3 linked regions of the Oryctolagus cuniculus genome follow. Each later gene encodes a partner of the first gene's protein in a complex. Links are inferred from orthologs where the notes say so. Each region holds a gene or a part of one and is shown in the gene's direction. Other genes may lie near its edges. The genes, in order: GNAI1, NPFFR1 and ADGRF1.

Region 1 (3,649 bases):
ACTGCCATCATCTTCTGTGTGGCACTGAGTGACTATGACCTGGTCCTGGCTGAAGACGAAGAGATGGCAAGTAGAGCCACTCTCTGGGGTGGGGCATGAAACGCAGTGAGAGGGATGTGTTTCCAGAAGTTTTTCTGAGAAATTCTTGATGCATGCCTGAATTATTTGAAGTTCCGTCACTTTCCACTGACTTTTATGCTTGCATCATTCAAGAGAAATCTGGTAAAGAAGCACAGATGGGGCTTGAAAAAGAGGAGACGATGGAGAGTCCATTTCATCCTGCCCTCTGCCAACTGTGCCTTTCCTGTATCTGCCGTCTGCATCCCGAGTGAAAATAAAGCCAGCCCATAGCCGTCCAGGGCTCATTTTTCATCATGTGTCCCTTCCTCCCATGTAGTGATTTTTGTTACGCATAGGTTATGCTATACTGATGCCATGTCATTTTCTTGTGTGTTTCAATGCAGAAAAATTTTTTAAATATAAATTTTAAAATTCTCAATTGTTTTTAATTAGCTTCAGTACAAAATGGGAACAGGGATAGATAGAAATGTGAGTTTTATATTTTAAAAATCAGGCTGTGCAGTCAAGTGAAATGCAACACTACACATTTGTTTTTCTTATATAAAAGCTATTAAATATATCAGTGCCCTGTAAAAAATACTGTTTCTTTATTTGGGAGACACAGCAAGCTCTCATCCATTGCTTTGTTCCTCAAAGGCTCGTAACAGCCAGGATTGGTCCAGGGTAAAACTGGAGCTGAAAACTCAATCCCACATTGCCGTATGGCAGGCAGGGACCCACCTGCTTGAACCATCACCCCTGCTTCCCAGGGTGTGCATTATCAGGAAGCTGGAATTGGAACAGTGCTGGGGCTTGAGCTCAGACTCTCCAATATGGAATGTGGGTGTGTCTTTCCTGCTAGGCCAAATGCCTACCCCTTAGTGCTCTTGTTTTGGGAAACAAACAAACAAAAATAACCTATTTTATTTTATTTGAGAGAGAGACACATCTTCTATTTATTGGATCACTCTCAAAGTGCATGCAACAGCCAGGGCTGGGCTAGGCCAAAGCTAGGTGCCTGAAGCTCAATCCAGGTCTCCGATGTTGGTGGTAGGGACCCAAGTACTTGACCCATCATCAGCTGCCTCTAAGAGTATACAACAGCAGAAGCTGGGTTGTAGGCAGAGGAGCCGGGCTTCAAACCAGGCCCCATGGTATGGGATGGTAGTATCCAAAGCATCATCTTAACCACAGTATCAGATGCCCACGCTCCTTGGTTTCCTTTTCAGCACAGGTCCTTTAAGAGCAGGAAACTGGAACTAGAAGTCTCCTTTGCTAATATTTAATGTGGTGGGCTCATTGGGTTTCAAAGTATACTTGTCTTAAAATGGCAGAAATGTATTTTTGTGGTCCATGACCTATTATTCATCTGAATAAGCTTGTATTATATTTGTTATTTTTTAAATAGTCCTCTAAATCTTTGCTATTAGTGATGATGTGACTTCATTTTCTATTACAGAATCGAATGCATGAAAGCATGAAATTGTTCGACAGCATATGTAACAACAAATGGTTTACAGACACGTCCATCATACTTTTTCTAAACAAGAAGGACCTCTTTGAAGAAAAAATTAAAAAGAGCCCTCTCACTATTTGCTATCCAGAATATGCAGGTATTTTACTTTTTGGTAAATAACTTAGCAAGTCATATATTTCAAGGTGAAACATCCCCTAAGGCAAAATTGGGTTGTTGATTTGAGTCTCTTGGCTTGGTAATTCTTCATATTCCTTCTGGGTAATTATTTATCAAACTCTGAGTTACTTAAGATGTGAAAGCGATTATTGAAAATAACATCCCTTTTCAGGAAAAGCTGTCAAAAGTGCTTTTCCGTGACAACTCCAAGCCTTCAAAAATTTAAAACATTGTTGACCAGGTTAACAGAGCTCATATCAGGTAATGTGTGATGCACAAGGCCTGCTTGCTGTCTAATCTCCAAGGCATTCACACTATTAAAGGAACCATGGCCCTGCCACACACTGCTACAAAGGAGCACAAACATGATTGTCAGGGGAGAAATGAAGCAGGACTCAGTGAAACCACAGATTTCTCCAGATATTCAGGGACGATTTCACAAAAGATCTCAACTTTGGGAACCAGACTATTCATGGCCCTTGAGTTTACTGCCCTGGAAGATGCCCTTGAGTGAGAAAAGTTGTTCTGAAGTACATTCCTGGGTTGGCTATAATTAACTCTTGGTCTTGAATATAGCAGTGAACTTGCCCTGTTCTTAATGATACCCCGACTGTGAAATCAAGAACTTGGCTGCAACATTGGTTTTAGTGTAGGTTAGCTCCTTGGAGCCCCACATGGGCTGCTGCTGAATGCAGGTACCTGGAATTGAAGGACTCACTACCCTTCATGCCTTTCCACTCCTCTCTCACTACAACAGAGTCGTTCTACTTTTGTGGGTTTGACATACCAGGTTTCTCAGTAAGATTTTATTTTAGAAAAGTGAACTCTACCTTAAAAGGAGAACAACATATTGCTTCTTGGCCTTTTGGCTAAGATCAAGTATAAAAGGAGAACAAACAGGAACCAGCACTGTGGCGTAGTAGGCTAAGGCTCCGCCTGTGGTGCCAGCATCCCATATGGGTGCTGGTTTTATTCTGGCTGCTGCTCCTCTTCCAGTCCAGTTCTCTGCTGTGGCCAGCTCCTTGCTGATGTCCTGGGAAAGAAGTAGAATATGGCCCAAATGCTTGGGCCCCTGCACCCGCATGGGAGACCCAGAAGAAGCTCTTGACTCCTGGCTTTGGATTAGGCCAGCTCCAGCTGTTTGTGCCATTTGGAGAGTGAACCAGCAGATGGATTATCCTTCTCTCTCCCTCCCTCTGTAACTCTGCCTCTCAAATGAATGAATAAAACCTTAAAAAAAGAAAAAAAGCAGTGATGCTATTTCTAGTTTGAAAAAACAACCGCCACTTCAATTTCTCTCCAGAGTCCCAAGCTTGCATTATCAATTCATTCTTGAACATAGATGTGTCTTTTTAGCAATTGAAACTCAAACTGACCTTGTATTATTTTCCCCACCTCAAGTCTCTCCTCTTTCTCCTCTCACCTTTGTAATAACACCATGAACCTCCTAGTTCTCCATTCCTTTTCTTTTTTTTTTTTTTTTTAAGATTTATTTATTTACCTGAGAGGCAGTGTTATAGACATAGAGAGGGAGAGACAGAGAGATAGAGGTCTTCCAGCTGCTGGTTCACTCCCCAAATGGCCAAAAAAGGCCAGAGCTGGGCCGATCTGAAGCCAGGAGCCAGGAGCTTCTTCTGAGTCTCCCACACAGGTGCAGGGGCCCAAACACTTGGGCCATCTTCTGCTGCTTTCCCATACCATCAGCAGGGAGCTAGATCTGAAGTAGAGCAGCTAGGACTCGAACTGGTGCCCCTATGTTATGCCAGTACCACATGCAGATGCTTAACCTATAGTGCCATCTCCCCCCCCCCACCCCCAATTCTCCATTCTTCAGCCTGTGTCTCATCTGCACTGTTCTTGATTCCAAACAACTTCACCATACACATACTTTGCTATTTGTAAGACTTAATGTCAGGTTAAGGGATGCACTTATTACTTCTTCACAGATGTCCCTTG
Region 2 (3,675 bases), on another chromosome or scaffold:
AGGGACCTGAAGCGTGCAAGCCCTGCCCCGAGCGGCGATGCTGTAACAGGGAGCGAGCACTGTGCGCTGGGACTGCTCCAAGCGTAGCCACTCTTCTCATCTTCATGACAGCTCTAGGAGGTCTGCACTGTTCTTATCCCCATTTTACAGATGAAGAAACTGAGGCAGCAGCAGAAAGCCGAGCGCAACTCAGGTCTTTGTCCCGCAGAAAGGTAGACTTGAGAAGGCACCTCCTGCTTCCCGCTCTAGGCAGGCTGCCCACTGCTGGGGATTAGTGTCAGCGTCTGGCCCAGTGATGAGCTCAGAGATGCCAGCAGATCAGGACGGAGGAGCAGCTGGAGTCAGAAGCTAGGACAGAAGCTAGCAAGCGGCTTCCAACTAGAGTCCCCCGGAACAAACCCTAAACCCCGTTCGCTGGAAGTTGGGACCTCTGTTCACTGATGGTGTCCGTAGGGTGCCTGACCAGCGGGCTCCGAGCTGGTGGCCCTCGCCCAGCTTCCTCCCTCGGCCGTCCAGGGTCTTTGCAGCTTCATCTCCTGTCCCGATCAGAAAGGCCCACGTCCTGGACACCAGCGCGAGCGGCCCGGGGTCGCGCTGGGCTGGGGCAAGGGGGAGGAGTGGGGACAGAGGCCGGGTGCGGGTCCCCGGGAGAGGGGTGCGCGGGTAACGGGCGTCGTGGCCAGGGCTCCGCGGGCGGCGGGCTGTGTCCCCTGCTTTGGAGGGGCGCTCGGTCCCGCGGAAGGAGGGAGGCATGCCGGGGCGCCCTCGCTCGGCGGGCGCAGGTGTGCCGGGTTCCATGGTGACGGCGCCGCGCCAGCCCCCTCCTTCCCGCTGGCCGGGGAAGTGCGGGGCGACTAGCAGGCAGCAGAGTCCGGCGGGCAGCGGAGCGGCGTGGAGCCCGCAACCCCGGCTCCGAGGGCAGCGAGACCAGCCCGACGCAGGGGCCTGAGAGCGCACGCCTCCTGCTCGCCTCCGCCCGGCCGGGACCGAGCTGCAGGGGGCAGGGGCAGGGGCGCCCCGGGGCGCTGCTCCGCCCCCGCCCACCCCTTGCGGGTCGAGGCTCCCTCGTCGTAGACTGGCCCGCAGCGCATGGGAGCTGGCAGCATGGAGGGTGAGTGGCCCCGGGGCTGCGGGGGACACTGAGTCAGGTGCAGAGAGATAAGGGACAGGGGCAGTCGACAGCACTGTGGCCCTCGGGTGGGTGACGGGGACCCTGAGAGAGGAAGAAAGACCCAGGGGGGATTCTGTGTTCACGGTGTGTGTGTGTGTGTGTGTGTGTGTGTGTGTAGAGAGAGAGAGAGAGAGAGAGAGAGAGAGACCGAGACCTGGAGGTGACTCTGTTGAGAGAGTGGGACAGAGACACACAGAGGAAGAGACCTGGAGGTTTCTATGTCCATGGTGTCTCTCTCCCTCCCCGTCCCGTGTGTGTGTGTGTGTGTGTGTGTGTGTGTGAGAGAGAGAGAGAGAGAGAGAGAGAGAGACACCTGGGGGAGAGACCTGAGGGTATCTATGTCCATGGTGTCTCTCTCCCTCCTTGTGTGTGTGTGTGTGTGTGTGAGAGAGAGAGAGAGACAGAGACAGAGAGAGAGACAGAGAGACAGAGACACACACACAGAGAGAGAGACAGAAAGAGAGACAGAAAGAGACAGAGACACCTGGGGGAGAGACCTGGGGGTATCTATGTCCATGGTATCTCCCTCCTTGTGTGTGTGTGTGAGAGAGAGAGAGAGAGAGACCTGGGGGAGGGTCTCCACTTCCCCCTCTATGTGCACCCCCATACTTGAGCTTCCTTTCTCTGGCGAGGAGAGGGCTGTTCGTTTCGGAGGAGTGCTCCCCGACTGTGGCTGCCTGAAGGAGTGGGGGTGCGGTGGTGGTGTTCCAGAGATCTTCCTACCCAGCAGTTTCTGTCCGTGGGGAGGGGGAACAGCTATGACCTCACCCCCCCCCCCCGGGATAGTGGCCAGGCACACAGCTGTTGTTCCAGACTTGCGCGGCGGGGGTCCAGACCCCTTTCCAGGCAGTGCAGGCAGGGGGAACTCTATGTGGGCTAAGAAACCAGAGGCTGGGGGGCTGGTCCTGTGGCTTGCGGGTGTCACTGAGATGGTGGCCAAACCTCTCGGTGCCATTGCTTACTTGTCTGTTAAGCGGAGCCACTTACCTCCGGCTGGCTTCCCGGAGCAGCTGAGGGGCTAAAATGAGACATGATGTGTTGTACAAATTCACGCCAGTCAAGGGAGGCTGCCACGAGAGGTGATGAAGCCTCGGAATGCCAATAAGTAATTACAGACACTTCTGTCAAGCAAAAAGGAGTTCTATAGAAAATCCGGGGAGTCTGCACTTGTAGCTGCCACTGCGCCGGGGCTTGAAAAGCAGACACACAAAAGATGCGAGCAGGACCGCGAAGCCCCCGATGAATCTGGGAGGCTGGCAGGATCTGGAGGAAGAGGGCCCAGGGCTCTGCAGCGCCGGTGAACAGAGGCAGGGAAAATTGGCCCAGACAGCCACCGGCTTTCAGAGTCTAAAGAAAGATAACAAGAAAGCATCTACTCAGCGCTGGGGCACAGAGTGGGCAGGGCGGGCACTGGCAATTTTGTTTCAAATGGTGGCATAAAGAGCACAAGGAGGGAACTGGAGAGGCAGGATAGGTGAGTGATGGGAGGAAGCACTGAGCCACCTACAAAGACCTCCCTCTGAAAGCCCAGACGCAGAACATCCTCCGGGCGGGATGCATTTACAGATGTAATCAGTAGGAAATTACACGGAACGAAGGAAGTGCCAGAGAACTGAAGACAGGCAAAAGCCCGACTTTCAAAAAGAAATGAAAGAATAATAAAAAAAAAAAAACCTCTAAACTGCTAAAATTAATGTTGACCTCTGAAAATTCCAGGAGAAATTATGGAATGAATGGCAAGCCTTTGGGAGGCAGAGCAATCACACACTGAAGCTTCTTTCAGAGGCAGCCGCCCCGTGCACCGTGGCAGAGCAGCCTCATACGGCACACAGTCAGGGGCCATCTCGGTGTCTGGATCAAATCAATTAGATAAGTGAAACATGAAACACACCTGTGAACAGCGTGCCACGCACACACTGAAAGCTGGGCTTCCGGGTTTCATTGACATGAAAATATGCTTGCTGCCTCAGTGAGTAATAAAAACAAAGCAGACTTTAGAACACATGGGTGGAATAGCCCTCTGTGTTCAGAACTACATAGGTTTATTATTCACACACACATGTATACAAACATAGGGACACCAACACCTCCTTTCAGATTTTCCTGCCTTTTTTTTTATTTGAAAGGCAGAATTAGAGAGTGAGACACACACACACACACACACACACACAGAGCTTTCATTCATTGGTTCACTCCCCCAAATGGCCACCATGACAGGGGTTGGGCCAGGCTGAAACCAGGAGCCAGGAGCTTCTTCTGGGTCTCCCATGTGGGGGTAGGGGCCCAAGGACTTGGGCCTCCTCTGCTGCTTTCCCAGGTGAATTATCAGGGAGCTGGACTGGAAGTGAAGCAGCCAGGACTCGAACCCATGCCCGTATGGGATGCCAGTGTCACAGGCAGTGGCTTAGCCCACTATGCCACAGAGCCAGCTCCCCGATTTTCCTGCTTCTGAAAGCAGCTCCAAGATCAGCACTTGGGTGTGGACAGTTTATTTGGAAGAAGAG
Region 3 (3,649 bases), on another chromosome or scaffold:
ATATTTGATTGACAGCACTAATAACCATAAAGGTGATATTATGAGAGGTTAAATGATTATTCTAAAGCAGGTATTCTCAAAGTACTGTGCCCAGGCCAGCATCATCGGCATCAGGAAATTGAATGAAAATGTAAATTCTTTTCCTTATCTCAGATTTGCTAAGAATCTCTGGAGTGAGATCTTCCAGGTCATCCCAATGAATAATGAAGTTTGAGCACCACTGATTACACATTGTTTTGCGTATTTTCACCAAGGTTTGCTCCATTTTTTTTTGATTATTAAAAAGGGTGACTTTTGGTGAGAATTTCAGGTGCAATAGAAGAAAATGAGCATACAAAATTGGCTGATGAAGCTTTGTCATCTTGACTTCCCCAGTTAAATCTCTCCACCTTTGCCATCTTGCTTGTAAGGCCTATATTGGGGTGGTTACAGGTTTACTGAGAGGGTAGTGACCAAAATACCCTCTAGATATTTGCCTACATTCCAGGTATTCTTTTCTGCCTCTCTCTTTTATTGCAACAGATAGCCACAGGGCACACATTATTCTTTGAGAGCTAAGCCCAGCCATTTTACTGCTATGTTTCTGATATCAACCTCAGAATTTATTGAGTTAGACATTTCCTTATGTTGCCATCCTGGACTCACCCTTCAGGATTTTGGTGAGAAACTCTTGGTTCAGATTCTAAGTCAGAGTCAATGATTTGAACTTTGCAGTAGTCAGTTCATAAATGAGGATCCATGAGACCAAGTTCTATCTTTTCTGCAGACTGTAGCAGCCTGAATGGAATATTGCGGTGTGGCTGTGAAGATAGCTACACATGGTTTCCTCCCTCATGCCTTGACCCCCGGTATTGCTGTCTTCACATGGCTGGATCACTCCCAAGCTGTGAATGTCATCTCAACAACCTCAGCCAGAGTGTCAATTTCTGCGAAAGAGCAAGTAAGCACAGGGTCTGTCCCACCCCATCATTTTTTTTTTTTTTTTTGACAGGCAGAGTGGATAGTGAGAGAGTGAGAGACAGAGAGAAAGGTCTTCCTTTACTGTTGGTTCACCCTCCAATGGCTGCTGCGGCCAGTGCACCACATTGATCTGAAGCCGGGAGCCAGGTGCTTCTCCTGGTCTCCCATGCTGGTGCAGGGCCCAAGCACTTGGGCCATCCTCCACTGCACTCCCGGTCCACAGCAGAGAGCTGGCCTGGAAGAGGGGCAACCGGGACAGAATCTGGCACCCCGACCGGGACTAGAACCCGGGGTGCTGGTGCCGCAAGGTGGAGGATTAGCTTATTGAGCCACAGCGCCGGCCTGTCCCACCCCATCATGCAACAGAGTGGGGACTCCAGCTGTTGGCCTCACTGAGGAGAGTCAGTGTTCACAGAGAAATTCAAGAACAGTGATGATATTCTCTACTAGGTGCAGCTAAATGCAGTGGGCCCTTCATAAAGGCAGAAGAAACAGAAACACAAGTTGATGATTGGGCTATCACTTCAACCTCTAGGTACATCCAGGTCAGCTCTGTAGTTACATGATTCTGTTGAGATTTAGGGAGATTCAGTAAAATACCAAGTAGGGAAATTGCTTGAATAAGCAATATTTCTCTCCCTAGCCCTTTTTCACTTCTTTTGCCAAGATCAATTCTGGGCAAAGGGAAGTCTAGAGGTGTGAATGTAGGGAGGAAAGAAATGCTCAAAATTATGAATAAGTATGTGTACTGAATGAATTACCAAAGCAAAACACAAGTAAATGTCTAGCTTAGGAGCATGTGGAAGCTGAGTGAACTACTCTTGACTTAGGTTTTTGTTCAATGAGGTGAGCCAAACATGTGAACTCCAGTACTGGAACAACTTTAAGAAGTTTTCCCAAAGACAACTCTAGTTATCTGAAAACTCCAGATTTTGGTGGTGCTGAGCAAGAATGAGGGAGGAGCCTGAAACAGACTAGGTTAACCATGTATCCATGGTACCCGTCCCCTTCTCAGGAATGCAAGTTGTGGCAACATATATTTATTAAGAACTGTCCTTACAATCAGATATGGGACAAATTCTAGGAAGACACAAAGAAGCATTTATACATTAGCAGGTTAGTTGAGGCCAGGTGGTCCAGTAAGAAAGAAAACAATGTAATTTCTTCAACAAGTATGGATGAAAGCCCACTTTTTGAAAGATGGTCTTGTCTCATCCAACTTCAAGATATACAAAGACGCATCAGACAGGGGCTTCCCACGGAGTTATGGAATCGTGTGTAGATGAGACATGCACACAGATGGGTGTTTGGGCACAGAAGCTATAAGGGAGTATGAACAAAGTACTGTGGGGATGCATCTGGGGACCAGGGGAGGACTTCCAGGAGTGGTGACATTTGATCAGGTCCTAAATGAAGGTTAGATAGGATTTTTCCATACAGAGAACTGTAGCCTCCTGAGAAGGACAAGTATTATAATGGATGAGTAATGGACAAGTAAACAACAGACATGTTGGGGTTAGCAAGTAGTGGTTTGCTTTTACAATTTTTTTGGGGGACAATAATTAAACTGAATGCCTAGTTGGGATACATGTCAGTGTTCAGTGACTGCCTAGTGATATGTGAATGCTCATCTATTTACTTACTTGTCATTTGTCCTGGTTTCCAGCACTTTCACATTACTGTTCCAAATCACCATTGAAAACTCTGATTTTATTCTTCCTATATTATTTTTTGCAAACATGTATTATGAAAAGAAATTGAAATACTACTGTTGAATAGATGAAATCTAAATTGTACTCCTGATAAAATCAAGTTAGTAATTTACTGTATTCATGAACTTTTTTTTTTTTTTTTAAATCTCCAAAGAGGTTTGGGGCACTTTCAAAATTAACGAACGATTTACAAAAGACCTTTTGAATTCATCTTCTCCCATGTACTCCAAATACACAGCTGGAATTGAACTTCAAGTAAGCACTTTCAACTTATTATAAGGAATTGATTGCTAAATACAAGTTCAGATGTTTTCAATTCAGCATGTATATTTGATGCATATTATTCATTTATTTTCAATGTGGTATTACACTCCTTGAGCATTTTCTTTCTAGGAAAGTTTAGCAGCTGACTTGTTTACACTTCTCTTGTTTTCAGTGTTGCTCACTTATTTGAGTAATGCTGTGCTAAGGGTTTTTGGTTATTTTCTGTTTTTTGATTGGCCAAAAGAAAATTTTCATGACCTGAGCTTGACCATCAGCACTTGAGATTCTTCCATGAAGAAGACCCTCTCGTTAGAGGCTGATGAGAGTCACCAGACAAAGCTCTGTAATTCCTTATGAAGTCACATAAAAGCTAGATTAGCCTGGGATAGTGGCTCAGCTGTGGTTCTAACCATAGGGCATGAGCAAATACATTGCAGGTAGATTTGTTTTAGGTACTTATGGAGATCAATGGCTTGTTTTTTAATAAGAAACCAGATTTTGAGTCAATTTTTATATTATCTGGCATCGAACATATGCCCTATTCTAAGTAGCTATTATCCACTGATTATTTGCCATCTTAAAAATACATTTTCTGTGTTTTGTGTGTGCCTGCCTGTGTGTGTGTACACATATGCACTCAGCTGCTATTTTCACTGTATTTGTATGACATTCAACTACTTCCCATTGTATTTCTTTGCCTTGCTCATTTGCTA

What was found.
Region 2: the proteins of GNAI1 (region 1) and NPFFR1 are in contact, whole or in part, in a cryo-EM structure (PDB 9M0R), measured with the Homo sapiens proteins. The link is inferred for Oryctolagus cuniculus from reciprocal best matches to the Homo sapiens genes GNAI1 and NPFFR1. Residues at the interface, in NP_002060.4 of Homo sapiens: Ala31, Arg32, Asp341, Ile344, Asn347, Leu348, Lys349, Asp350, Cys351, Gly352, Leu353, Phe354; in NP_071429.1 of Homo sapiens: Thr78, Arg141, Cys144, Ile145, Pro148, Phe149, Leu243, Arg264, Arg265, Val268, Met271, Leu272, Phe332, Asn333, Glu334, Asn335.
Region 3: the proteins of GNAI1 (region 1) and ADGRF1 are in contact, whole or in part, in a cryo-EM structure (PDB 7X2V), measured with the Homo sapiens proteins. The link is inferred for Oryctolagus cuniculus from reciprocal best matches to the Homo sapiens genes GNAI1 and ADGRF1. Residues at the interface, in NP_002060.4 of Homo sapiens: Arg24, Glu28, Arg32, Leu194, Lys314, Asp315, Glu318, Thr340, Ile343, Ile344, Asn347, Leu348, Asp350, Cys351, Gly352, Leu353; in NP_722582.2 of Homo sapiens: Lys615, Gln618, Thr619, Arg623, Leu682, Arg685, Ile686, Val689, Phe690, His692, Val765, Lys768, Leu769, Arg771, Arg788, Ser792, Ile795, Leu796.

The regions. Positions count from the first base shown.
Region 1 is NC_091434.1:144,909,680-144,913,328, forward strand, and holds part of GNAI1 (guanine nucleotide-binding protein G(i) subunit alpha-1), read left to right. Parts: coding exon 1-66; intron 67-1,519; coding exon 1,520-1,673; intron 1,674-3,649. UniProt on the Homo sapiens protein: Guanine nucleotide-binding proteins (G proteins) function as transducers downstream of G protein-coupled receptors (GPCRs) in numerous signaling cascades.
Region 2 is NC_091446.1:61,855,962-61,859,636, reverse strand, and holds the start of NPFFR1 (neuropeptide FF receptor 1), read left to right. Parts: upstream 1-866; 5' UTR 867-1,089; coding exon 1,090-1,111; intron 1,112-3,675. UniProt on the Homo sapiens protein: Receptor for NPAF (A-18-F-amide) and NPFF (F-8-F-amide) neuropeptides, also known as morphine-modulating peptides. Can also be activated by a variety of naturally occurring or synthetic FMRF-amide like ligands.
Region 3 is NC_091436.1:123,114,075-123,117,723, forward strand, and holds part of ADGRF1 (adhesion G-protein coupled receptor F1), read left to right. Parts: intron 1-766; coding exon 767-940; intron 941-2,826; coding exon 2,827-2,927; intron 2,928-3,649. UniProt on the Homo sapiens protein: Adhesion G-protein coupled receptor (aGPCR) for N-docosahexaenoylethanolamine (synaptamide), an omega-3 fatty acid lipid highly enriched in the brain.